7 linked regions of the Ovis aries genome follow. Each later gene encodes a partner of the first gene's protein in a complex. Links are inferred from orthologs where the notes say so. Each region holds a gene or a part of one and is shown on either strand. Other genes may lie near its edges.

Region 1 (4,013 bases):
TTTATACTATCAGTTCAGTTCATTCGCTCAGTCATGTCTGACTCTTTGTGACCCCATGGACTGCAGCATGCCAGGCCTCCCTGTCCACCACCAACTCCTGGAGCTTACTCAAACTCATGTCCATTGAGTCAGTGATGCCATCCAACCATCTCATCCTCTGTTGTCCCCTTCTTCTCCTGCCTTCAATCTTTCCCAGTATCAGGATCTTTTCCAATGAGTCATCCCTTCTCATCAGATAGCCAAAGTATGGGAACTTCATCTTCAACATCAGTCCTTCCAATGAAAATTCAGGGTTGATTTCTTTTAGGATTGACTGGTTTGATCTCCTTGCAGTCCAACAGACTCTCAAGAGTCTTCTCCAACACCACAGTTCAAAAGCGTCAGTTCTTCGGTGCTCAGCTTTCTTTACGGTCCAAATCTCAAATCCATACATGACTACTGGAAATAGCTTTGACTAGATGGACTTTTGTTGCAAAATAATACTCCTACTTATTAATACTATACTCCTGTATAAACCAAAGCGGACTGGAAATAATGTGATTCATATAGATTTGAAGAGAAAGCAAAGAAAAATGAAGTTTTGAGAACAGAACAAATATGTCACTTAGGGGTAAATGTAAATTCACCCTATGGGGGGAAAATTAATTACTCCTTTAAAAAAATCAATCAATTTTTTGAAAGTCTCACATAAAATTAAAACACAGAAAAGGAGAATTCCCTGGCGGTCAACTGGTTAGGACTCTGCTTCCATTGAAAGGGGCGCTGGTTGAATCCCTGACCGGGGAAATAAGATATCACAAACCACTGCAGCTCGGACAAAAAATAAATATAGGAAAGAACTAGAATTTGTAAGAGTGATGCCAAAATTTGAATTTAGGCAGACAGGCCCTTTCTATTACCTTGGTTTTTCAGATTAGGACACGCAGGTGGTAAGTATTATTTCTGAGGACACTTTGAACACTAAACCTTCACGTGTCAACGTTTCTTAGATACTTTCTCTTCAGTACAATCCTGCTGAATGGGTCTCCCGATGAAGAGGTACTTGAAATGCAGAGAAGCCGGTTTTACCTCAGGCCAAGGGAGAGGACGCGAGATGACTTTTTTTAAATATGATTTTTGATCCCCGTGGGTCTCCGGCCTGGACTACATCTCCCACCAGGCCGTGCTCCGAACTACGGGTGCCGGCTTGAGGTCCAGCGCCGTTGGCGGCGGCGCAGTCGCCGAGAGGGCGGCCGACCGGCGGGCGCTTCGCGGTTTGAATGGCTGTGGGCCCGGGCCCTCGGCTCACCTGAGGACCTGCCGCACAGGTGTACGCTATGCCGTCGGGAGGCGACCAGTCGCCGCCGCCCCCGCCTCCCCCTCCGGCGGCGGCGGCCTCAGATGAGGAGGAGGAGGACGATGGCGAGGCGGAGGACGCCGCGCAGCCGGCCCGGTCGCCGGCCCCTCAGACCCAGCAGCGGTTTGACGAGCTGTGCAGCCGCCTGAACATGGACGAGGCGGCGCGGGCCGAGGCCTGGGAGAGCTACCGGAGCATGAGCGAGAGCTACACGCTGGAGGTGCGCCGGGGAAAGGAGACCAGCGGTTTTCGGGGCCTAGCGGTCCCGCCCCGCCGCGGGGGATGGGGGCCCTTCTCTCTCCGGCTCGGGAGCCCCGCGGGGGAGCTCCCCAGGTCAGCCCCGGCTCTCCCGGTCCCCAGCCTGGAGCGGGAAGGGAGTCCTTTCTGCCCACTTTCGTCCTGGAAACCTGGCTTTTGAAAAGCCCTTAGCTGTCCTAAAAGTGAACCCTGTCTCGGTGCTCTTCCCTCTCCGGTTCCGAAGGGGGAACAGCCTTTGCCCTGAATTAGCACCTCGAGGCTGAGGTCGTGCTGGGGTCTGATTACAAAAATACAGCCATCTGGTTGGCAGACTGAACAGGTGCAGTTGTCAGGACCGTACTCAAAAGGGATGGGGGTGTGGGGCTTGCCTGCGCTAGCACTGAAATTAACCCGATTTTAGCGTCTGCGTTTCCAGGCTTCTCCTCAAGTTCTTTGCAAGCTGTACCTAATTGCCTTTGGTCCAGGCATTGCCATTTGAGTAAATGCATTACGTTTCGGGCTGTGTTTGTGTATTTGTAAACAAAGAAGAATCTTCCCGTGAGCGGATGAAACGGGCTTTCTGCCTACCTGGATATAGACTCTTATCTGTCTCTAGGAAGTCAGGACTGCGGCGATCTTGAGGACTTATTGGTCACCCCAGACACTGCACAGGATTCTTAAGAGTCGCTGTCATCTGGACATGTTTTGTCCCTTTCTTCGGACGGGGCTTGCAATTAAGAAAAATGGCCATTCTAGCCAGTGAGGTTCAACTCTGTAGGCACCTCCCCTTTACGGGCCAATGGGAAGTGACACGGAAGTGTGTATTGTTTATCCGCTGTCTAACTGCCCCATGGGAGTGATATTTAAACTGCAAGCCATATGATTTTCTGAAGTTGTTTAATAGTTTGTGGAAAGAGTAGGGCAAATAGGCTCAGAATGGGAAGGCTAACAGATGTGTTTTAACTGTAATACGGTGTTTTTGCCTGTGTGGCACTCACTAAATTTATTCCTATTATTTCTTATTCTTGCATTAATATAATTTTAATTTAGTTACATCTAGAGTGGGGGAGGGTAGCTAGATATGTACTGGCTTTAGAACCTGACAGGCCTTGGTGACTTCGGGCAATTTACTTAACCACTCCAAACTCAGTTTTGTGATATGTCAATTTGAGGTATGTGTACCTACTTTACACAGCTGTTCTGAAGGTTAAGTAAGGTAATGTGGAATTTCTGGAGCGTAAAGCATTCATGGAGACTGCTTTAGAATTTACAAAGCTCTTTCACATGCTTAGGTGATATGACTGAATAGGTCAGGTCAGTTCAGTTCTGTTCAGTCACTCAGTTGTGTCCGACTCTTTGCGACCCCATCAATCGCAGCATGCCAGGCCTCCCTGTCCATCACCAACTCCGGAGTTCACTCATGTTATTGTTTATTTCCTAGTGGTTCCTGTGACAAAAGAGAAGGACTATTTTTGGTGATGGGCATAAGTGCCTCCAAATAAGCTCTTATTTTACCCTCAGGGTAACCTTGTAAATTAAATAGAAAAAGCATAATTATACACTTTTTATGTTTAACTCACAGTGGTTAAGTCATAGGAAGCCCGGGGTTATATAAACAAGTGACAAATAATAGATGGTTCAGTTCAGTTCAGTCGCTCAGTCGTGTCCGACTCTTTGCGACCCCATGAATCGCAGCACGCCAGGCTTCCCTGTCCGTCACCAACTCCCGGAGTTCACTCAGACTCACGTCCATCGAGTCAGTGATGCCATCCAGCCATCTCATCCTCTGTTGTCCCCTTCCCCTCCTGCCCCCCAATCCCACCCAGCACCAGTCTTTTTCCGATGAGTCAACTCTTTGCATGAGGTGGCCAAAGTACTGGAGTTTCAGCTTTAGCATCATTCCTTCCAATGAACACCCAGGACTGATCTCCTTTAGAATGGACTGGTTGGATCTCCTTGCAGTCCAAGGGACTCTCAAGAGTCTTCTCCAACGCCACAGTTCAAAAGCATCAATTCTTCGGCACTCAGCTTTCTTCACAGTCCAATTCTCACATCCATACATGACCATAGGAAAAACCATAGCCTTGACTAGACGGACCTTTGTTGGCAAAGTAATGTCTCTGCTTTTCAATATGCTGTAGGTTGGTCATAACTTTCCTTCCAAGGAGTAAGCATCTTTTAACTTCATGGCTGCAGTCACCATCTGCAGTGATTTTGGAGCCCCCAAAATAAAGTCTGCCACTGTTTCCACTGTTTCCCCATCTATCTCCCATGAAGTGATTGGGACCAGATGCCATGATCTTCATTTTCTGAATGTTGAGCTTTAAGTTAACTTTTTCACTCTCCTCTTTGACTTTGATCAAGAGGCTTTTTAGTTCCTCTTCACTTTCTGCCATAAGGGTGGTGTCATCTGCATATGTGAGGTTATTGATATTTCTCC
Region 2 (3,500 bases), on another chromosome or scaffold:
AAAATGGCCACCAGATATGACGTGAAAGAATTGGACAGTATATTCAGGAATAGGGGAATAGGGTGAGGGAAAGCTTTTTCATTTCCATAAACCTGTCTTAATAGGATGACAAGTTAAAGAAGTTGGTTGAACAACATGGAACTGATGATTGGACTCTGATTGCTCGTCATCTTCAAGTAAGTGAAACACTATCTCATACTGCTAACGCAAATGATTTAGGCCATGGGGTTACAGTTGCTGTTTTTCAGAAATGTGTCTACGTTATTTTAGATTTAGGTTCCCATCCTAAAAATAACTGTTTTGTTCTGCTCTTCCTACAGTTGGAAACTTAGAAAGTCTGGGTTTTCTTTTTTAGTAATTAATTTATCTGGGGATCTAAAAAGATGACTGACATAAAGAGAGGACAGACCTAAAAAAGATGGCTGACTTAAAGCAAAAATTATACGAAGTTTGGATAGGGCTTTATAAATATTTGCTAATCAATGTTAAAACATTTTGAGAGAAGTTAAATCTATTGAAATAGTTTGGTAACTAATGAAACCAGAAGAAGCTATGTTGCTGTGAGAATTAGAAGTAACATATAGGATGTTTGGCACAGTGCCTTACATTTAGCACATGTTCAATAAATAGAATCTAAATTAGAAAAGCTGCTTACATTAGCTTTATCAGTTTAACTTCAGTGGTATAACAGCAAATGTAGTCAACAGAGAAATGCTACAAGGATGTACAAGAACAACCTGATTATTTTGAGAAAATGATAACCTTAAAGTGAATCAGCATTGATGTACCGAAGCTATACATGAAAACACTCAGTATGAATAAAAACAAGTCCGCTAGGCATCAGGAGAGAGCTGTGGTTAAATACAGTATTTCTATTTATGTCATTCAAAATTATCTGTAATCCTGTATATGAACTAATATCTTCAGAAACCAAATCACTAAAGGAAAAGTTGTGTTAGTAGTATTATCCTTGTAATACACAGGAGTTACTAAGTCATGAATTGACTAAAAATAAGGCTACACTTATTAATCATTTTTCGAGTTTGACATGTTTCTACATAAGGCTTTACCCTGGTAAATTTCATTTTCCTTTTGAACTTCAGTGCTTAAATATTTAACTGATATATAATGTATATCAATCTGGATATACTTATTTTTTCTTGATAACTTGGAGTTATCATTTATAAACATCCTTTAAATACCATGCAGTAGTCTAGTAATGCCTTTTGGGTGTTTTTTGAATTGTGTAGAGTTAGGTACTGCTATACTCTATGAGTCCAGGCTGCTATGCTGCTTGAGTTTGTACGTCTGTATTGTTTAGTTGTCTGTTTACTCCCTTTTATTCATCAGTACATTTCTTTATGTTAGTATCTGTGTTATTTTGCTTTTTTGCTTGTGTTATCAGGCAGGGTATAGAGATAAATAATTTTAATTTCAAATATATAATTTTTATTTATACTCTAAGCAATGCTGACAACTTTAATTAAAAATGAATTGGGATACAGGCATATAAAATAAATATTTCATTTTTAGAGAATGCTATTGAATGTATTAGTCCTGGAAACTTTCTTCTTAAGGTTGTGAAAGTTTGGAAGACAGTTGTTCATTAACAAAATCATCTAAATTCTTTCAGAATCGTTCTGATTTTCAATGCCAACATCGGTGGCAGAAAGTTTTAAATCCAGAATTGATAAAGGGTCCCTGGACTAAAGAAGAAGATCAGAGGGTAACGTGTTCATATTCTTTATTTTCACTGTGTAGGTGGACTTGCTTTTTTTCTTACTAATACATTGTTTTTGGGTAACATAAATACATGTTTAAATCACCTGGATTTGTTCTCTGAGTACTGCTTGTACTAGAATTGAAAATTGAGTATTTTGAGATGTAGTTTTTTCAGAATTGAGTCAAACCAAGTATAATATAATATAGCTTTTGCTGGCTGAAAGTTTGGTTTGTAGAATAAAAAATACTGTCAGCTTAGTCACCATTTTAGAGCTTAGGTTAGCGACATTTAGGGCATAGTTTCTTACTGAAAATTGAGTTAGCATTTTTAAAACAATTCAATTGTATTCTTATTTTATCTGAAAACTTGAGGTATAAGAAGTTATTCTTTAACTTTCCCTCTTAACCTAAAATGGGCTCCCACATAAGACAGATATCTTATCATCGTGTTCCCAGAGAGCTAGAGGATTCAAAACCAAGGTAATTCTTTGTTATGAAAGTATGAGAAGAATGGGAAAGTTACTGTCGTCTTCTGAGAATTACCCTTTAGTTCATGCTCTTCATGGCATCATCTTATTAATGTAGTTGGAAAATTAGAGCATTTTTACTGCCACTCAAAAAAAAAAAAAAATTGGCCAGTGGTAAGTTTTAAAATGTGTGATTTGTATCCTTTCAGTTTGAGAAAGAAAGTAATGAATAGACAGTAACTATAAATCTTTCCTGCTTCCAAAATGATTTATTTGGCTTTCTGCTGAAGCATTAAAAAAAATGCAAGAGTAGAAAATCTTAAAGTCTCAACATTTTACTGTTATTTCATATTAATTTTGTATGAAACAATTTAATTTACAGGTCACTTTAATACCTTGTATTTAGATAAGTGTGGGATCAATTTTTTGAACTTGGCAAATGCTGAAGGAATATTTTTAGTAAAATTGTTTTTTTAATTATACTTGTGGTTTGGATTTAATGCATTTAAAATAGCATTCTTGAGTTATGTTTTAAGATTCTATCAAGGTAGTGCTTTTTAAAAATTGAGATATATGGGACTTCCCTGGCTATCTAGTGGTTGAGACTCCACATTCCCAATGCGTGGGGCACTGGTTTGATCCCTGGTTGGGTAGCTAAGATCCTATATGCCATGGGGGGTGGCCTAAAACAATAGATAAATAAAAATTGGGATATAATTATATATTAGTTCCTGGAGAAGGAAATGGCAACCCACTCCAGTATTCTTGCCTGGAAAATCCTGCAGTTGGAGGAGCCTAGCAGGCTACAGTCCATGGGGTCGCAAAGAGTGGGACATGACTCAGTGACTTCACTTTCACTTATATATTAGTTTCAGATGTACAACATAATATGTGTATTATGACAGTCAGTTCAGTTGCTCAGTTGTGTCCGACTCTTTAAGACCTCATGGACTGCAGCACACCAGGCTTCCCTGTCCATCACCAACTCCTGGAGCCTACTCAAACTCATGTCCATCGTGTCAGTGATGCCATCCAACCATCTCATCCTCTTTCGTTCCTTTCTCTTCTCACCTTCAGTCTTTCCCAGCATCAGGGTCTTTTCTAGTGAGTTGGCTCTTTGCATCAGGTGGGCAAAGTATTGGAATTTCAGCTTCAGTCCTTCCAGTGAATATTCAGGGTTGATTTCCTTTAGGATGGACTGGTTGGATCTCCTTACAGTCCAAGGGACTCTCAAGAGTCTTCTCCAACACCACACAGTTCAAAGCATCAATTTTTTGATGTTCAACTTTATGGTCCAACTCTCATATCCAT
Region 3 (4,184 bases), about 13 Mb from region 1:
GGCCCCAACCTGGGTGGAGAGGAAGGTGTGCTGATATGGATGCAGACAACATCACAGTGTGAAAACTGTGTTGACAGGCCCTTAGAGGCAGGTATGCCTCTGCAGAGGAGCAAGAGACCATAGGCTATTGTGAGGAGGGTGTGTGGCGGGAGATGGCAGAGAGGGGTGGAAGAGCTATGAAAGCTTGTTTGTCTTGGAGATAAAAGGAGCCATGAAAGGGACTGGTGCTGCTGCTTAGCTGCTTCAGTCGTGTCTCTGTGCCACTCTATGGACTGGAGCCCATCAGGCTCCTCTCTCCATGGGGTTTTCTAGGCAAGAATACTGGAGTGAGTTGCCATGCCCTCCTCCAGTGGAACTGACTACTAGGTAGTAATAATGCTGTGGACACTGGCTACCACCCAAATCCACCCTTCAGGACAAAGACACTCATTCCCCTAGCTGCCCGAAATGTAGGCTAATGAGGTCTCAGATCTGAGTCTCTTGGTCAGTGTTAGGGTATAAGGGCCAGGTAGGCCTTGGAAGGGGTACCCCAGTTTCAGTGCTCCTAGAAGGACAGAGCCCTCCATTTTAACTTCCTCACAGTTTAATTCTCCTCTCTGCCCTGTTTGGCCTGTCTTATTTCCTTACAAGTGTGGCTTCTCAGTAAACTTCCTGCTGGCACATCTCTTTCTCAAAGACTGTTTTCCAAAGAACTTGACCTAAAATAAACTATAATAAATGATAGTGTTAAAAATAACAAAATGATACTAGCAAACACATAATCCTTCCACATGCCAGAAACTGCTCTAAGGGCTTTACATATATTTACACATGGGTAAATATGTTTGCATCGGTTGAAAAGTGGTTTTAATCCCATGGCCTCTGAGCACTGTAGTGTGGAGACAAGAGAAAGGCGAGGCTGGGATCAGGGGAAGAAAGTGGGGATGCAGACAGGTGAATAAGCTAGATGTAGTTAGTGCTTGCTGTTTGGCAGGAACTGAAGGACAGGAATAAGGAGGGTAGGTGATCCCAAGAGAGTGGGGCAGTCTTTTAGGAGCAGGTTTGGGAAAACACATTGGGTTCATCAGGCAGCAGGGTCTCCTCTCCTGAGATGAGGGTTGGGGCACAGTTAGTCGAGTTGGGTCAGGTTTGCCAGCCAGGAAGGTTCCAGTGATTCCTCCTTACTGCTCCTGAGGCTACCCAACGACTTCCTCCACATGCTTCCTCGACCACATCTGTCTTCCGGGATCCTGGGGTTATTTTCGTCCTCTTCGGCGGTTGGACATTTGATGATGGTCCCTCAAGTTTTTCGGCCATGTCTGCTGAGAGGAATTGTGACGGACTCCCTGGAAGGGAACGAAGCGGAAGCGGAAGTAGCGAGGCTGGCGCCGGCGGCCGAGCAGCCAGGAACGGAAGCGGAAGTGGCGGCGGCGCCGGCCTGGCCTGGCCTGGCTGAGGGGAGGCGGCGGGCGGGCGCGATGGCGGAGGCCGGGCCACAGGCGCCGCCGCCCCCAGGCACCCCAAGCCGGCACGAGAAGAGCTTGGGACTTCTCACTACCAAGTTCGTGTCGCTTCTGCAGGAAGCCAAGGACGGTGTGCTTGACCTCAAGCTGGTGCGGCCCGGGCTAAGGGACGACAGGGGGATGGTGGACCAGGCCTGAGCCGGTAGAGGGAACCCCCGGGGCGGCCCAGCTGAGCCCTCAGAGCAGGCCGCCATACATGTGCTTCTCACAAGCGGGAGGCCGGGAGCTGTTTCATTCATTCGGCTAAGGCTGTTCATCGGATGTCAGCTTTGTGGCAAGCTTGAGGCTGCGGGTGGTAGTCCTCGTGGCCCTTTCCAGCAGGTGTGGGGAAAAGAGCATCGGAACATCAGCTCAGGCTTCGTCTGGCCTCTTCCCGCCCCACAGTCCTGAGCTGCTGTAGTGCCTGGGGAGGAGGGCTAGAATTCAGGCCACCCCCTTTCCAGACTACTCCAGACCGAGTCCCCCGTGAGAGTGGGACTGAGCATTTTCCATTCTCTTCTCCTTGCCAGGCAGCTGACACCCTAGCTGTGCGCCAGAAGCGGCGGATATATGACATTACTAACGTGCTGGAAGGTATCGGGTTGATTGAGAAAAAATCCAAGAATAGCATCCAGTGGAAGTGAGTGGGGGCACCGGGGTCGGCAATGGTATCTCCTACCCAGAAGTGTCAGGAGTGTGGGGTGGAGGGTGGCAGAGAGAACAGGGGCTGTAGGACCCAGAGTGCCAGGCAGTCCCTCTTAGCTCTCCTTCCTGGATTCAGGGGTGTGGGTCCTGGCTGCAATACCCGGGAGATTGCGGACAAGCTGATTGAGCTCAAGGCAGAGATCGAGGAGCTGCAGCAGCGGGAGCAAGAACTAGACCAGCACAAGGTGTGGGTGCAGCAGAGCATCCGGAACGTCACAGAGGACGTGCAGAACAGCTGATATCCTCTTATCGGCGGTCCTGGCTCCCGGGGAGTGGGCGATGGGCCCTCTAGTCCAGCTGGGTGTGCTCTGTGTCCCCTAGTCTCTGTCCCACTTGGGAGGATGGTCCTCCAGCTCCTGGCCAGGTTTCAGCCTCCGGTTCCCTCCTCGGAGCCTCTCCACCCACAGTCTTGGCCTGTGATCCCTCCCCCATGTAGACCCCAGGCCTCAGGGCTTCTCTTTGTGAGCATGTATGTCAGACCTCTGCTGCAAAGCTGGGTCTTCGCTGTGTCAGTTATCTGTCACCATAGGCAGGGCATCAGCCATTCTCCTTAACCCCCACACCTTGGCCTACGTGACTCATGAGGACATCTGCAGATGCTTTGCTGGTGAGCAGAGCCTGGGTAGGGGGAAATGGGGGTGGGACTGGGCTGAGCCACAGCCCTGAGCAGTGGACTCGGTGCTTGAGAGATTTCCGTCTCTTAAGAGGGTTCCTGGGGCCTGCTCAAAGAAGAACCAGACAGGGTAAGGCCTAGATTTGAGGATCTCTGGGACCCTATGGAGGCTCACCATGCTGAGAGGGTACAGGAAGCCTGGACTGGGTCTCTGGGTCAGCCACCACCTGCATCGCCCCCTAGGTTTGGCTTCTCAGGTGTGACAGAAGCATACGAGGGGAGAAAGTGTGTGTGCCTGTTTGTATATGCTTGTGTGCAGGGGGCAGTGGTACCCACTTCCAACCTGTAGTTTAGTTGCACTGTAGGTACAGGAACTCTTCCTCGTCCATCTTGCATCTCCCAGGCTGGTTCTGGGGAAGAGCTGTTGGCCTTGGCCAGAACATCTTTGCCTAGGGAGCAGCCCCATCAATTGAATGAGGTGCCCATGGCCACTAATCTCTTGCTCCACATATCTGAACCCAGATTTTCTGGTTACTGACCTTTGGGTTCTTAGGAGAGAAAAAGCTTTAGTTTTCTCCCCCAGCCTCAATAGGGAGTGAGTGAAGCCTACTGTCCGCCCCCTCCGGGACTATGACGTCCTTCCTTGTTCTGAGGGATAGGCACCCCATTCCCAGTTCAAATTGAGCCCATGGGCCTTGATCCATCGTCTTTGTCATCCTAGGAGACACTCTCCTTGCCATCCGGGCCCCGTCGGGCACCAGCCTGGAGGTGCCCATCCCAGAGGTGGGTGCTCAGCCCAGCCGGGTGGGGTGGATTGAGGGCGGGTGCTGGCTGTGGAGCCCGATAAGTCCCGGGTGGGGCAGGTAAGGGGAGGCCTAGGGTTTGAAGTTATCTAGGGGAACGGGCAGCCCAGGGTGGGAGAGGATACTGGCCCTGGCCCAGGGTCAGGCAGGAGCCAAATCTGCTTCCAATTCCACCTGTCCTCCACCCCCACATTCAGGGCCTCAATGGGCAGAAGAAGTACCAGATTCACCTGAAGAGTGTAAGTGGCCCCATTGAGGTGCTTCTGGTGAACAAGGAGGCATGGAGCTCACCACCTGTGGCGGTTCCTGTGCCCCCACCCGAAGACCTGCTCCAGAGCCCGCCTGCTGTCTCTACCCCTCCGCTTCTGCCCAAGCCTGCCCTGGCCCAGCCCCAGGATGCCTCACGCCCGAGCAGTCCCCAGGCAACCACCCCCAACCCTGTCCCCAGCAGCACCGAGGCCCAGGGGGTGGCTGGTCCAGCAGCTGAGATTACAGGTGAGACACAAGGGGTATGTGGTAATGAGGGACTTCGGGGACCCAAGAAGCAATGTTTCTGTGTGACGAGATGAAATACTGAGAGTT
Region 4 (3,500 bases), on another chromosome or scaffold:
ACTTCAATAAAATAAAGTTTTTAAAAATTAAAATGCTTCCTTTTGAAAGGTCAGTGGTTAAACGGTTCCCTTTTATTCCCATAGGATAATGATCCCTTATTAGGACAGTCACCTTGGAGAAGTAAAATTTCTGGCTCTGACACTGAAACGTTAGGTGGTTTTCCAGTAGAGTTCCTTATCCAAGTGGTAAGAATTGCTCTAAATATTTTGCTCATTTGTTAAAAAAGAATTCAATATCTTTTGTGTTATTAAAGTTGAAAATTTTCCTAGGACCAAATATTTTTATACTTTTTAAAATCATTGTGTTTTAAGAACTCTGTTATTTCCAACAAAGCTTGAAATTAAGTTATAACAGCCAGAAAAGACTTAGAGGTCTGTTTTTGTTGGGCTTTTCTTGGGTTTGGTTCTTATTATTTTGCTATGTTAAGGACTCTAGCATAAGTGTTCTAGCATACACTCTATGAAATTGAATGGTTAGCTGTTAATAAATTGTATAAATATAAAGGTTTTTATTTAGTAACCTCAGTAATCCTGCCATTATCAGTCACCTCAAAACTTACGGTGTGTTGGCCAGCTCTCTGGTTAGGAGGAACTTTAGTTTTTTTCTGAGACTACAAATAGCTATTCATTTGCTAAGTACTTAATGATTAGACACAAAGAAATCTGAAGCTAAAGCGAAACAAATAGCAATTATTATATACAACAGTTTTCCTGAATAGCCTAACTCTTAATATAATGAGCTGTTTGTTTTGAAAATTAGGTTGAATAAATTATTTAGTTTGACTCATAGTCTAATGATGTTTGATTTGTTTCTTTTCCTCTCCTTTTTCTTTTTTGAAAATAAAGCTGTTTGGCTTGGGATAGATAAAGTCTTTATAAATAAAAATGTTTATAACATAAGCCATTAAAATATTCAGTGTTACCTTTTACAATTAATGTTATTTTGAGGAAAAGTCTTGTCATTTGAATGGCATTTCTTATTCCTTAGTTATATGTTGTTAATTATCCTTGGACTACAGAATTACACCTTTTAACTTTCAAAGGTAGATTTTTTATATGAAAAATTTTAAATATGAAAAGAACCAAGGCTTATCATTTCACAACTAGGACACTTGTTTTTTAAAGACATTCTTTCTTTTATTAAATACTGGAAGTAAAAACAAAGCTGATATGTCATATTTGGGCAAGGGGTAGAGGGAGATGGGGAAGGAGGGTGAAGAGGCAGAGGAGTGGGGAGCAAGAGGTCTACCAGCAGAGGGAGTCAGAAGCCAAAGACTAATACACTACTTCTAAAGGATTGATGTTTTTATTGCTGCTTAGATGTTTTGATTGCAGTGCTTAATTTTAACTTCAAAATCTATGTGTAATGCCTAGTTGAAACACTGCTTTCATTATTTTAAGCTTTCTAGCAGGTAAAAATAAAAGCCCGTTTATGTACTTGTCTTTTGTAATATCTAAAGTTTTACGAAACTCAGGTTTGCTTTTGTCGAGCTGTAAGATATGTTTTTGTCTTTGTTACTATTTTTTCTTATGACAAAATAAACATCATTTTTTGCTAGTTTCATAATTCATAGTTCGCAATGAATTTTTTTTCTTGGGGTTAGGGATTTTGAGGAATCTAAAAAGACTGACCAACCCTCTCTAAGAGAGGACTCAGTTTTGAAAAGAATGAGAAGGAAACAGCATGATTTTCTATCAAAAACTAACAAGAAACACAAAACTGAAAGAAACTAAAAATGGGAGAAAGATGTTGCCTTCATCCATTTTTTACTGTTCCTTACTCAGTAGAATCACACAGTTTTCCATAAAACCCAACAACTAAAGACAGGAGACCAGTCCAGAGCTCTGGACCTAAACTAATAAGGGTCAGTGTGAGCAAGTATATGACATATCTTACCGGGCCCTCCCTCTACCTGTATCAACTTAGGTCAGTTTTTTTATTTTTATTTTTTTAATTATCAAAAATTTAGTACATATGAAAGCAGGCAGTTGTATAATGTATCTCTCTGAACCCATTTTCTAGCTATAGCAGTTATCAAAAACTCCTGGCCATTTCTATTTCATATATACTCCTACCCTTTTTCTCTCTTTTGAGACATTAAACATCATATCATTTATCTGTAAATATTTTGTTTATGTATCTTTAAGTGGTAAGGGCCCTTTTTTTAAAAAAAAAAGACATAACTGTAATATTATTATTACATCTAAAAAGTTAATAAAAACATGTCTTAATATCAACACATATCCAGTCAGCATTCCAGTTGTCTAGTTGGCTCTTAAATATTGGCTCTTCTTTTCTCCCGTTAACCTCTTTGTTGAATAAACTGTATTATTTGTTCATGGAGTCTCCCACTGTCTGGATTTTGCTGACTGAGTTTGTAATAACATCCAGTATACTCTTCTGTCTTTGTACTTCATGTAAATTGCTCATTGAATATAAAGGTTTGATTTGATTTGGGTTTTTCATTTGATTGGTATAGTTGTTTTTATATGACTACTTTTATGCATACTTTTGTATTCTGATAGGATGTGTAGTAGTAGTGCTCAGCCATGTGCAACTCTTTGCGACTGTGGGCTATAGTCCACCGGGCTCCTCTGTCCATGGAATTTTCCAGGCAGGAATACTGGAGTGGGTTGTCATTTCCTACTCCAGGGGATCTTCCCAAAGCGGAAATCAAACGCACATCTCTTGTGTCTCCTGCATTGGCAGGCGGTTTCTTTACCACTAGTTCCACCTGGAAAGCCCTGATAGGATACCCCTATTTTTTATCTCTTTTTAAATATATTGTTAGCTGCTACAAATTATCAATGCCTAGATCCATTCATTCGTTAGGATTGCAAAATGGTGCCATTCTTGTTCTTTGTGTATTAGCTGAAATCATTTTGTGAGGAAAAACCCCCAAATCTACTATTTGGTTACCTAATGGCATAGTTTGTATAGGAAAGGCAGGATAAATGCTTGATTTGTTGGCTTTGTTTTCCAGTTGATGAGTTTGGTTACTAGTGTTCTCCAACAGTGGTTAATTTTGTTGAGTATCGGTCTGAATGCATGGATTTTAACCTATTTGTGCTTTAATTAATTATAGTTATTATTCTGATTGGTCCACACGTTGTTCCAGTGAAAACTTGTTCAGGTTGACTTCTTACTCGTTTTGATGTACCTGCTTACAGTGGATTTTAAAATATCTTCCTCTCACCCAGTCAGATTTCTAAAATAGTGTCTGTGCTATATTTATATTGAAACACATCTGCTAAAATATCTTAGTGGAAACTTACAAGTTTGATGTCTACCTGGTATATTTAAGTGCCTCTCTTTATTCCAAAACATCTCTTTTTCATTGTCTGTAGACCAGACTATCAAAAATTCTCATGATTAAAAAGGAGCATATCAAGAAATTAAGGGAAATGAACACAGAAGCAGAAAAACTGGTAAGGATTTTTTTTTTTGTTTACTTGTCTCATTTTCAAATGGTGGGGGCTTCTATATTTAAGGGTTGAAA
Region 5 (4,133 bases), on another chromosome or scaffold:
TTAATTCTTTGCACGTGCCTGGAACAAACTGGGATCATTAACTATGTGTCCTTATTCAACGCCAACAAAACACTGTAACTCTGCCAGAAAGTTAAACAAAGTCTTGGCAAGCAAAGGCACAACAGTCCACAGCCTGTGGAACATGCAAAGAGCCGTAGCTGGGGAAAACAGCTCAGCAAATGACTGCTTTTGGGAAAACGGAGTGAACATTCCGAGAAGGGGATTCAAAGTTCATTCACTGACCCTCGCCCCTCGTGTGCTTCCTGCCCCTCGCCCCCCGGCCTTTACCTCGGATTGCAAACCGTGAAGAAGGGTGGGGGAGGGGGACAATTTGGAGGTTCTCGGCCCAATGCTAAGAGAGGTGACCAGAAGGGGAGTTTCTAGGGCAGAGAGGTGGCTGGTGCAGAGGTGAAAGGGAAGACGTTGGGCAGACCGACAGAGGTGGGGCAAGAGAGTGTCGGCAGGGATCGGGCAAGCCTCGAAGAGGAGAGTGGGCCAGAGCCATAAAAGGGGGGAGGCTCAAGAATAAAAGGGCTAGGGCTGAATCCAACGAAGGCGGGTACTGAGTGAGGTGTGGGACAGGGCCGCACAGGTCCGATGGGCACAGAGAAGGGTCAGCCATGAAGGGGATGGCTCAGAGAGCGGATGGAAAGGACGAATTTCGAGCTTCGCAACCCCTTGGCGCTACCCTCACTCGCCTGGAGGATTCGGGCCCGCAATGCCGCCGCCGCCGCCGCCGCCACCACCGCCATGGCTCTGGGTTGCCTCTTCTCAGCCCCCGCACCTCTACGGTCTGAGACTGTCCAGAAGCTCTACTGCGGCCAGGCCTCGCCCCTCCATCCTGCCGCACCTCCTCACTGGCGGAAAGGACAATCTCCCCTAGCCAATTACTCGCCCTAACGCCTGACTCCGCCCCTCAGTCCCAGCCCTGGGGGAATATGATTGGTCAGAAGTGATAGCGTTCTCGCCCTGCGCTACCTCAACAAATTCTGTTGGCGGAGGGGTAGGGAAGGCACGGAGCGACTCGCGATGTTCTATATCGAGCACAGGAGGAAGACGCCCCCGAACCCGGAACTGCGATTGGCCAAAGGCACAACCGCGGCCCCGCCCACTCACTGAGGGAAGTAAATAAGTTCATGCAAGAATTTTTGCAGTAGCTCCGCCTCATCCACTGCGCGAGGGGAGATGTGGCTAGCACCGGGGGGCGGGCCTATGTAAAGATTGTCCCTATAGGGGCGGGGAGACGAACCCGGCTCCCGGGTTTGAGGGCAGGGTTTCTCTTTGGGGGCGTGGCTTACGGATCCAAGCTTTCCCGCCGACAGTTGGCCACGTCACGTGACATGGGTTGGAAGATGGCGTCTCCCACGGACGGTAAGAACCGGCTTAGAGACCTTTCGCCTGCTACATCCTTCTGCGCTCTCCTGGGAACTTCCGTTTCCATCTACCACTCGAATTTACATTTCTTTCATGGGCTCCTATCCTTTCCCTTCCACTTCTTTTCTAAGCGATGTGGCTGCTTCTTAAGCTCGCCGGTTCTTCACAGCGGCTCCAGAGGTGCCTGGTTTCTTCTCAGTGTACCAGGCAGATGGAGGAGGGCGCCCGCTAGGGACCTTTTCTGGGCAAAAGGACGAGGGTCGCCCTTGTCCTCCTTTAGCCTCATTTGGGTGAGACTGATGGCCGAGGAAGAGATACTGATGAGGAAAGGAGGCGCCTTAGTGTAGCTTTCTCCTCCGGGCGCCTCACTGAAAAAGGTCAGTTCTTTTCTCTTTGAGCATCTGGAACGATTTTTTGATTCTCTTAAGCGCTAGCTAGGGTTAGTGGCTGACCTCATCCTGGGATTGAACCACAAGAGAAAAGTAATTCTCTCCCGTCTCCTTAGATTGGGACCGTTGCCCTGGCAGCTACAGAAGCAGGAGACCCTCTCGGGTCCCTAACTGTGAGAGTCCCGAGGAAAATAGAACTGAGCTTTTTAGCGTAGTCATGTACACGTCTCTACCTCTCTTGTTTCTGCTTTATGAATTGTTTCTTAAGGCTGAGTGATTGAACGATTTCTGCTTATATGTTGTCGAAGATGCAACTCATCTCAGATAGCAATTGAGTGGTTTTGGTATACTCCCAGGCTTTTGCTCTCCGTTCTGTTTTAGGATTAAAGTTTTGCAGTCATTTCTGAACTGTTTTTGCTTCGACTATTCCATCTCCACGTCCATTTCACTGATATGTAGTTTTCTCTCCTTTTGTGTTTGGAAGGAATCTTGAAAGTTCATTTCAGGAATGAGGAACTTGTGGCCAGAAAAGCTATATTGAGATCCTGCTTTATGAAAGGCGTTTTACTAGGTGCATTGGGAGAGAAGAAGATTAATCAAACATGTAAACACTTTGGCAGTTTCAGGTCTCATTTAAATGTCACCTCCCAGAGAGGCTTTCACAGAGCACAGGAGCTGAGCTTGCCCCTCTTCACCACTCACTTTCTCAGTACCTTCATAGACAGAACAGTTTATTATGTCAAGTTTGCCCCTTTCAGTCCAGATTGAAAATTCCAAGTCTGTTTCATTGGTAGTTGGGTCTCAGGGCTTAACACAGTGCCTCGCCTACTGGCAAGCAGTAGGTCTTCAATTCATGTTTATTGAAAGAATGATTAGATATATGCTTAAATAATATTTTAAGGTTTTTGAGCATGGGTACATACTGTATGGGGCTCCCCTGGTGGCTCAGCAGTAAAGAATCTGCCTGCCAACGCAGGAGACATGGGTCCCTGAGTCAGGAAGATCCCCTGGAGAAGGAGATGGCAACACGCTCCAGTATTCTTGCCTGGGAGATCCCATGGACAGAGGAGCCTGGCAGGCTACCATCCATGGGGTCGCAAAGAGTTGGACATGATTTAGCTACTAAACAACGACAAGCAACCATATACTGTATAAGAAATTATGGGTATTGAAAGTCAAAAGAGATTCTTGATCCTGCCTGAGTGCTCTCTTGTTAAAAATGAAATGTCTTTTTCTTTTTTTTGGCCAGGAAAAAAATAAAGAGCATTTAAAAAGTTAGCCAAGGGAATGTGGAGTTGTTATTTATTTAATGGGTATAGACTTTCAGATAGGGAACATGAAAAAGTTGTAGCAATGGATGGTGATGATGGTTGCAAAGCGGTGTAAATGTACTTAATGCCCCTGAACTGTACACTTAATACTGGCTAAGATGGTATGTTTTATGTATATTTTACCACAGTTGGAAAAAAATCAACCAAGTGATAGAAGTAATGGCTATGAAAATTTTTAGTTTATAACTAAGTTGTCTTTATATTTTTGTTCCTTATATTTGATTTTCCCTGTCTTCTCTCAATTTCTTTTCCTTCCTTTGGCCAGGAAGAATATTGGAAATTTTTTTTTTTTCCTTTTGCCTTTTAACCATGTCCACTCTCACTCTATTTGCACACTTGACTTTAAAAGTTTTCATGCTCATCTTTTGCATAGCTTTATCCTTTTCCCTCTAATCTTTTTAATCTGACAAAAACAGGTTGAGCACTGTGAACTTAAATTTTGCATCTAAATAAATGTCTTATCCTAAAATATACTACTGCCTAGCTCTCTCACTTCTATTTTTAGAGTTCCACCTGTTTCTGTCTATAAGATTTAATTAAAATTATCTTGCTATGAAAAAAAGTTTAGATCTTTCCACTCTTTCTCTTTTCAATGCTTAATTTGCTGGGACCTCCTTGAAAAGAAGAAAATTGAAATCTAAAGTCATTTGTTACTTAATGTATGAGAATAACACAGTAGAGTCAAATTATACCCTAGACTGTGGTATCATAAGGTCATGCTTGTTGGTTATTGAATCGTACCCTCAATAAGTTTATTTTTGTTATGCTTGAACTTTCCATAAGTAGCATTCCTTGGAAGTTTGAAAATTGGGATTTTGTGTTTCACATATCTAGTTAAGGCAGTTTTTTAGAGTTTAGTTCTTTACCAATTAGAATGCCAATGGAAATTTCCTTAGAGTAAATAGATTGGTTCAGCTAACGTCCCTCTTCTCACAGCAGTACAGTAAAAAGGAAAGAAGAATAAAGGCAAAAATTTTTCTCCTTTTGATGAACACACTTAGGATTTACTCTTAACTTTCCTGTCTGTCATATAGCAGTG
Region 6 (4,059 bases), on another chromosome or scaffold:
GAACTGAACTGAAACGAATTTAATGCAACCAATGAATTCTGGGCCTTGGGGATACTGCTGTGAATTGAGGGGCCCCTTGAACTTGACTTCCCTGGTGTCTCAGATGGTAAAGCGTCTGCCTGCAATACGGGAGACCCAGGTTCGATCCCTGGGTTAGGAAGATCTCCTGGAGAAGGAAATGGCAACCCACTCCAGTATTCCTGCTTGGAGAATCCCAGGGACAGAGGAGCCTGGTAGGCTACAGTCCATGGGGTCGCAAAGAGTCGGACACGACTGAGTGACTTCACTCACTTTGAACTTTAGCAAGCCCATAGTTCAAATCAGGACATGCATAAGTCAGCAAGTAGACTGTGGGCTGTGGGCTCTTAAAGGAGCAATAGGAACTAGTTCCGGTGGGAGAAGTGGGAAGTGTATCCGCCCCAGCAACGGCCAGGAGGCTGAAGAGTTTCCTCCCGCTAGGGGCGGGGTGGTGGTCTGGCAGACTGCTATAAACCTGATTGCAGAATATTTTACCCTGAGGGAGAGGACAGAGACTTTAAGTTCTGGAGAGGCAACATCAGGTTTGCTTTTTAGGAGGCTTGCTTTGGGCTGCCAGGAGTCCAGCTGAGGAGCTGGAGCCACTTGAGTTCAAGGCTGGAAAGGAAGAAGGGAGTGGTTTCCAAGTCTCAGCCCTGGCCTAGGTGTAGGTGAGGAGGCCGCTTTGGGGTGGGGGTGAGGGTGTAGGGACATAGGAGCTGCTTGGACTAGCGCTGGGCTCTTAGCACAGGTAGTTTCCCTCGGCCTCACTCTCCCACCCTTGCGGCTCATTCCCTTTTCTCAGTCTTCCCTCCTCCAGGCCTGCCCCAAGGCTCTCGGCCGGGCCTTGCCTCAGTCACCAGGTTGCGGGGTCAAAGCCGCGCCCACGAGCTCCCTGCCCTGGGAGCTTCGGTGCTGTGCCCTCGGGCCTTCAGGCCCCGCCCCGCGCGGCTCGCTGGCCCCGCCCCGAGCACGGCCCTCCCGCTGGCCCCGCCCCGCGTCGCTCGCTGGCCCCGCCCCGCGCACCAGCCCGCCCGCGCGCCTGGCCCGGGCGGCGCCGGCGCGCTTGGCGGGAGATAGAAAAGTGTTTCTGTGAGCGCCGGCGGCGGCCGCAGTCCCCGTGAGCAGCGGCCGGACCTGTGGTCACGCTGACGCCTCGCCACGCGGCCCCGGGGCCCGGAGCGGCCGGAGCAGCTCGCACCCTGACCCCGGCCCGGCTCCCGCTCCGGGCTCGGCCGGCGGGCGGGCGAGCGCGGCGCGGCCCGGGCCGGGGGGATGTCGCGGCGGACGCGCGGGTGAGCGGAGCCGGCCGGCGGAGGGCCCTTCCCCCCTCCCCAGGCGCCATCCTCCTCAGCCCCGACCCCCTCCCCGCACCGCCACCCTCGCCGGGGCTTTTCCGATCCCGGCCCGGCGCGGTTGGGGTCGGCGGAAAACTCAGGTGTCCCGCGTCGCCTGACGCGGGGAGGCGTCGAGGGTGCGCGCGAAGCCGGGGAGCTCTCGGGGGCTCCTCGCTCGGCACCCCCGGGCCTGCTGGGCCTCGGAGCTGGGGCGAGCGGGTCTCCTGGGACCCGGGCCAAGCCTTGTATGATGTCATTTTGTCTCCCGCCTAATTGCGGGGTGGGGGTGGGACGGTGGTGTCAGCTGGAAGGGCCTTTACCGGGGAGGGAGGCGACCCCTGGAGAAGAAAAATTATTTTCGAAGTCGCGGTGAGTGGGAGGCGAAAGCCTGGAAGACGCTTGTCTTTGGAGCCTTTTGGGGGGTCTGGTTTTGCCGGTGGGCATTTCTTAACATTCGGGGAAGCACGGAGCACTCCCGGCTCTCTCCCCTGACCTAGGAGGGTTGCTGGGGCCGGGAGGGACTTTTTGGTCCCTCACCACCTGGGCTCGGGGCCTTAGGTCGGTCTCGCTCCGGAGACCTTCTTCCTGTCCTACGCGCGGGGGTTGGGGCAGCTGGGGTTGAATGCAAGGGGAAGAGAGACTGATCTGTGCCAGCAACCCCTGGGGCGGAGGCAAGAACTGCAGTCTCCATTTTACTTATCCCCCAGAGTTTGAATGGCAGAGACAAGCCAGAAATCAGGTCTGTGGGTTCCATGTTCCTGTCTTACACCTGTTCCTTGAGTGTCTGAGTTCTAGGCTTTTCAACCAGTCTGGGAGTCACACTACAGAACCACAGGGGGTTCTGACCTGTTCCCTCCCAGGATTCCTGTATCCATACCAAATAGCCTGAAATATCTCGCTTCAGGTGATGTTTGCCTTCACAGGCTTCTCAGCAAGGAAACATCTGATCCCTGGGAAGTCATCAGGCACAGGGTGTGTCTTCCTCAGGCCATGGTTTCTCAGAGCAGCTCCAATTCCCAGGAGTTATTTTCTGGGCAGGCGCTGGTCAGGCCCTGAATTTCTGGTTCAGGAAGTGTTCACTCCAGGCAACAAACCCAAAGCCCCTGAAAACCCCCAGGTCTTCTACCATCTATGCCCTGGGGCTCAGTGGAAGAATCCCAGCTCCCAGGTGAGGGATGGGTTCTGCATCCTGGAACCCCACAGCATTCAGTTTGATTCTTGGCCACTTGCTGTAACTCTCTTCTGCACAGTGTCCTACTTCCTGCTCAGCTTCTGACTCACCCCAACTGGAGCAGAGCCCAGCACATGGAAGGGCATAGAAAGGGTGTGTGAGACCTCCACGTGGTTGCACTACTGACTTAGCCTCTGCTTTTCCTGCTGGGATTATCAGATGAGGACCTACAGGTGCAGGTTAACCCCTGCGAGCTTCGTGTGTGCGTGCTAAGTCGCTTCAGTTATGTCTGACTCTTTGCAACCTTATGGGCTGTAGCCTGCCAGATCCCTTTGTCCATGAGATTTTCCAGGCAGGAATACTGGAGAGGGTTGCCGTGCCCTCCAGAGGATCTGCCTGACCCAAGGATTGAACCTGTGTCTTTTATGTTTCCTGCATTGGCAGGCGGGTTCTTTACTGCTAGTGCCACCTGGGAGCTCAGTTTTCACATCTATTAAATGGGGATAATGAGAATGCCTGTGAAGCAGACAATCATTACTGTGATGGCGGTATAAGTATATTAAACCTCACGGAATTGTCCCAGCCGCAGTACTGTCCGCATTAAATAGAGTATTCAAGCTCCAGAGGGTGTTCACACAGAAATCACTTTGTCCTTGAAGGAACATTTGCTGAGCTTCTGTTAGAAGCTGGGTGTCAGAGAACCAAAGATAGTTTCTGTTAGAACAGAGGCCGGGGTCAGTTGATGTTAAAGCCACTTCTTTCTGTTATTAGTATCTTGTAGAATCTCCTATTTTGAAATGGTGGAGTACTCCATGAATTGGGTTGGGAATGACGAGACAAGGTTGAATTCCAGCTCTCATGACAGGTGTTGGTGGGTTTAGACAGCATCTGTCCCTTCCTTACCTCATTCTAAAAGTTGACTTATGTTAGCATTTCTGATCAACTAAGAGGCAGCAGCTTTGCATGTTTATCAGTCATTCATTCCTGTATCTGGCCATTTCCAGAGCAAACATTTCTTAAGGCATTTTGGTGCCATCCTCCAAAGGCAGATACGGAGGTGAAGGTGACCTCTGTCCCGGTTGTCAAGGAGATAGGCATTTGCAACCTAAGGGCCTATGTTATGAGACAGGAGGATTTCCAAGGCGCTCTGGGGAGTGTGGGAGTGACTAGGGAGATGCTGAGAAGGGGAAAGGAGGGTGGCTGCAGAAGGAAGTCCTCTTCCTTCTTTTGATACCTGACCTGTGCTTGGAGACTCATAGACTTTTCCTGCGTAAAAATGCATGCCTGAGGAATGTCCCTGACAGGTCCACCTGAGTTGGGAGGGTGCTCCAGTGAGTCCCAGACATCCCTGGGCGTGGATAGCGTGATCTTCATTTTTGTAAACATTATACCACGTAAATAGGAAGATGTTGGAGTGACTTAGAAAATTACTTATTAGAAAATAAAAACATTCAGAATTCAAAGTTGCTTGTACTCTGATTTTTTGCTCCATAAATTAGGCCTGTGTGAAGGCAAAGATTGAGAAGGGGTATGCAA
Region 7 (3,500 bases), on another chromosome or scaffold:
CAGGATGGCTCTTGAAGGTTGTGAGAACTGTTGTGTGGGTCGGCCTTTCAGAGCCATTGTGAAAGGAAAACATATCCTGTCAAGAGCTGTGTTCTGACAGAAGGTTTCCATACATACTAATTAATAATACTTAGCACAGGATTCTGGCTTTAACTTCATATACCAACTTGTTCTTATTGTATCCATTTAAAACCTGCTGTTCTTAGAATTTTTTTCCCCCCTCATAGCTGCTTTAGTTAGCCTGTGAAGAAAAGGTTCATAGGCCATGTTAAGATGACCTATGCTTGGTCTCATCTTACAACATAAGTCAAATTCATTTCAAGAAATTCATTTCTGATATTTCTGCCCACCTGTGTTGTAAACTCACCTTTGAAATACACGATGCTAATTCATTAACATTTAGATTTTATTTGTCCCAGTCACTGCCTTCTCTAACAGTCTAGATAAGGAGACAAGGGTTAAATAAGTTACAGGGCCTCCCTGGCGGCCCACTGGTAAAGAATCTGCCTGCCAATGCAGGAAACACGGGTTCCATCCCTGATGCGGAAAAATCCCACAAGCGAGGGAGCGTAAGCCCATGTGCCACAGCTACCGAGCCTGTGCTCCAGAGCCCGGAACCACAGCTGCCAAAGCCCGTGTGCCCTAGAGCCTGTGCTCCGCGGCAGGGGAAGCCACAGCAGTGAGAAGCCTGTGCACAGCAATTACAGAGCAGCCCCCTTGCCACAACTAGAAAAAAGCCTGTGCAGCAGCGAAGACCCGGCACAGCCATAAATAAATAATAAAGTTACAATAAGAATTAGGCAGGGTTGTGATGGGAGAAATATGGTAAATTGCATAGAAAACAGGACCGCAAGGATGTATCTGCACAGTATTTGATGCAGACTGAAACAGCAGTGCGCTCACGAAAAATGTGACTGTGCAAAGCCTTTTAAAGTAAGGTTTAGTTCAAGTTTTAAAGCAAAGGATACCAAGAAAAAGAATAAATCTTGGTCAGTAATAGCACTGAGTTCCCAGGGGGTACTTGAAACCATGGCAGGGGGTATAGGGGGTTGAGCAAGAATGTCTGTCCCTCTGACATAGGGTGTTCTGACTTAACTGTCTGCTTATCCACTCCTGCTCTGGTTGTTAACACCCCAGCCAGAGGCTTTTGTGGTGCATCCAGCGGGTGTCCAACAGTAGTGCAACCATCAATATGTTCATGTGGGATGCCCTCTCAAGGGCTTCTGCAAGAAAAAAAGAATGAAGACTCTGGGATTGGTCTGATTTGAATTCTTTCCGGCTGTAGTCTGTCTCCCTGAATCCTCCCCCTTGCTCCACTCTTATGTTCTAGAAATTTCCTTTTTGCAAGCTGAAGAAACCTGGGTTCTCCCCAGGGCAGGAGACTGTAGCTTAGAATGGGCTGCTTGCCTCCTTCGTCTGTGCTCTCTGCAGGCCATAGCAAAAGCAGCCACGGGACTTACCAGGCCTCCATCTGTTTTTGTTTTTTCCTGTAGACATCTCCACAGGACCATCTTGGTTAAATCAGGGACTGCTTTTGAACTCTACCCAATCCGTTTCAAATTTAGACCTGACCACCGGTGCCACCTTGTCCCAATCAAGGTATGTACTTTCTCAGGGTTAAAAAGGTTAGCCTCCAAGCCTGCTCCTCACTGGAGGGGAGCCCCATGTGCCTCTATCAGCTGGGTCTCCTGCGGATCCCGGCAGAGCTCGCCTGTGGCCCTCCCTTTCCTGGGCTCTCATCCTTTATGTTTTCCAAAGCTTAAAGGCTGCACACATTAACCAGCCTGTGTGTTTCCGATTGTTTGCTAGTGTAAACCAAGGGTTGTGCCTGGATGCTGAAGTGGCCTTAGCAACGGGGCAGCTCCTTGCCCCAAACAGTCACCAGTCCAGCAGTGCGGCCTCTCACTGCTCTGAGTCCCGAGGCGAAACGCCCTGTTCATTCAACGATGAAGACGAGGAAGAGGACGAGGAGGACTCATCCTCCCCAGAATAAAGACAGGCGCAAACCCGCGTTTTGCTGTCTGATGCTCATGTGTGTTTTTAGTGTGAGCTCTTGTTTTTGAAACGACTGCTTCAGTCTTTGCCTTTGTTTGCACTGTGTGTTCAGTGAAAACTAGGGAAACACAATAAGCAAATTACCCGAAGGCTGAGATGGTTGAGATGAACGCTAACGTAGTGCGAATGAAAGCTCTGATCAGCAGAGCAGTAGATCACTTGGCGAGCAACGCCTGTTCTCTGAGGTGGCGGAGGGGGCCGTCCCCGAGGAACGGGCGGCGTGCACGCCACACACTTCCCTTCCGCGAGGCGGGGCCACTGCGGCCCCCGCGGCCACCCACCCCCTCTTAGAACTGAGATGGCTACACGAACAGCCCCTGCTGGTCTGGGTCCCTCGTCCCGCTCCCTGGCCTGGGCTGCCCTTTCCCTAGGCTGACCAACCACAAGAGGTTCCCGGTGGGCTGTGCAGTGAGTGAGGGAGACCACGGGGCCCCAGGAGCACAGATGGAACCGCTGAACTAGTTGAAAGTCTAGTCGAGGTGCTTTACGCATCAGCTGCCTTAGACGGCTTCTAGAAAGGAGCGAGCGCTAATTCTGAAGTACTTAAGTGACATTTAGAATAATTTATAGTCCAACTGAAATTATCACCCTTAGCCAATGCATTGGTGCATAGAATTTTCTAGGGCTACTTCTGGAAGCCAGAATAGAATAGCATTTTCACGTGCATTAAATACTTTGCCAGCACTGCCTTTTGCCAGCATCCTAAATCTGGAGTGTTACAGAGCAGGAAATTATCTCTGTGGTTTTAATCAGAGCTATGCGTTTCCTACAGCTTTTTCACTTAGCACAAAACAAAGAAACATGTCCCTATGACCGAACTGCTTGCTTACTGTTCCCTGCAAGTAATTGTATGATTTCACCCAGTGTGCAATTTGTGAAAGTGAACTGCCATTACTGTTGTCTGAAAAGGCGTTCAAGAATATGAACAAGCAGTGTTTTCCTGTACATGTCACCTTCTCTACATTCTCATGAATCAAAATGACCATCCTGGATTGATTCCTGGGTGAAACGCATTTCAAACTAACCTGATAGTTTCACAGAAACACCAGAAAATGGTGAGCACCCCAGGACTGGGCGTGCAGTGGAGCAGGATGTAGACTGTCGTGACAGAGCCAAAGACGCCACTGGGAACGGCACGTGCTGGGCTCAGTTACCGCCCCTCTGAATACGGGTGTGGAGACAGCTGCAACCATGGCCAGACCCCAGCTTAAGTGCACATTAAGGCCTTGGAAAGGAGCAAGTGATACTGGACAGTTAACTCCAGTCCTTTGACTTGACTTGTTTGTATTTGCCCTTAAATTATGCATCCAGTTACTGTGAGCTCAGCCCACCGATTCTTTTCTAAATCCTGCCGGGGGAGCGCGCAGGCCAATGCCTGCAGTGACTAGAGGGGCAGGGCCTCCCTGACCCAAACAGCTAGTACAGAAGGATGTAGAGCGTTAAGT

The links.
Region 2: RBL2 (region 1) and MYBL1 share a complex: the UniProt entries of both Homo sapiens proteins name them as parts of the DREAM complex. The link is inferred for Ovis aries from reciprocal best matches to the Homo sapiens genes RBL2 and MYBL1.
Region 3: RBL2 (region 1) and E2F4 share a complex: the UniProt entries of both Homo sapiens proteins name them as parts of the DREAM complex. The link is inferred for Ovis aries from reciprocal best matches to the Homo sapiens genes RBL2 and E2F4.
Region 4: RBL2 (region 1) and LIN9 share a complex: the UniProt entries of both Homo sapiens proteins name them as parts of the DREAM complex. The link is inferred for Ovis aries from reciprocal best matches to the Homo sapiens genes RBL2 and LIN9.
Region 5: RBL2 (region 1) and LIN52 share a complex: the UniProt entries of both Homo sapiens proteins name them as parts of the DREAM complex. The link is inferred for Ovis aries from reciprocal best matches to the Homo sapiens genes RBL2 and LIN52.
Region 6: RBL2 (region 1) and MYBL2 share a complex: the UniProt entries of both Homo sapiens proteins name them as parts of the DREAM complex. The link is inferred for Ovis aries from reciprocal best matches to the Homo sapiens genes RBL2 and MYBL2.
Region 7: RBL2 (region 1) and TFDP2 share a complex: the UniProt entries of both Homo sapiens proteins name them as parts of the DREAM complex. The link is inferred for Ovis aries from reciprocal best matches to the Homo sapiens genes RBL2 and TFDP2.

The regions. Positions count from the first base shown.
Region 1 is NC_056067.1:21,291,454-21,295,466, forward strand, and holds the start of RBL2 (retinoblastoma-like protein 2), read left to right. Parts: upstream 1-1,213; 5' UTR 1,214-1,316; coding exon 1,317-1,556; intron 1,557-4,013. UniProt on the Homo sapiens protein: Key regulator of entry into cell division. Directly involved in heterochromatin formation by maintaining overall chromatin structure and, in particular, that of constitutive heterochromatin by stabilizing histone methylation.
Region 2 is NC_056062.1:43,807,168-43,810,667, reverse strand, and holds part of MYBL1 (myb-related protein A), read left to right. Parts: intron 1-104; coding exon 105-176; intron 177-1,633; coding exon 1,634-1,726; intron 1,727-3,500. UniProt on the Homo sapiens protein: Transcription factor that specifically recognizes the sequence 5'-YAAC[GT]G-3'.
Region 3 is NC_056067.1:34,395,858-34,400,041, forward strand, and holds the start of E2F4 (transcription factor E2F4), read left to right. Parts: upstream 1-1,384; 5' UTR 1,385-1,457; coding exon 1,458-1,592; intron 1,593-2,011; coding exon 2,012-2,121; intron 2,122-2,262; coding exon 2,263-2,424; intron 2,425-2,749; coding exon 2,750-2,793; intron 2,794-3,520; coding exon 3,521-3,582; intron 3,583-3,799; coding exon 3,800-4,097; intron 4,098-4,184. UniProt on the Homo sapiens protein: Transcription activator that binds DNA cooperatively with DP proteins through the E2 recognition site, 5'-TTTC[CG]CGC-3' found in the promoter region of a number of genes whose products are involved in cell cycle regulation or in DNA replication.
Region 4 is NC_056065.1:28,558,550-28,562,049, reverse strand, and holds part of LIN9 (protein lin-9 homolog), read left to right. Parts: intron 1-84; coding exon 85-186; intron 187-3,348; coding exon 3,349-3,429; intron 3,430-3,500. UniProt on the Homo sapiens protein: Acts as a tumor suppressor. Inhibits DNA synthesis. Its ability to inhibit oncogenic transformation is mediated through its association with RB1. Plays a role in the expression of genes required for the G1/S transition.
Region 5 is NC_056060.1:83,523,543-83,527,675, forward strand, and holds the start of LIN52 (protein lin-52 homolog), read left to right. Parts: upstream 1-1,333; 5' UTR 1,334-1,340; coding exon 1,341-1,371; intron 1,372-4,133. Other genes in the region: ALDH6A1 (methylmalonate-semialdehyde dehydrogenase [acylating], mitochondrial), read right to left, coding at 699-752.
Region 6 is NC_056066.1:72,197,189-72,201,247, forward strand, and holds the start of MYBL2 (myb-related protein B), read left to right. Parts: upstream 1-1,259; 5' UTR 1,260-1,290; coding exon of another isoform or gene 1,291-1,310; 5' UTR 1,311-1,599; coding exon 1,600-1,721; intron 1,722-4,059. UniProt on the Homo sapiens protein: Transcription factor involved in the regulation of cell survival, proliferation, and differentiation. Transactivates the expression of the CLU gene.
Region 7 is NC_056054.1:247,614,098-247,617,597, forward strand, and holds part of TFDP2 (transcription factor Dp-2), read left to right. Parts: intron 1-1,493; coding exon 1,494-1,599; intron 1,600-1,809; coding exon 1,810-1,993; 3' UTR 1,994-3,500. UniProt on the Homo sapiens protein: Can stimulate E2F-dependent transcription.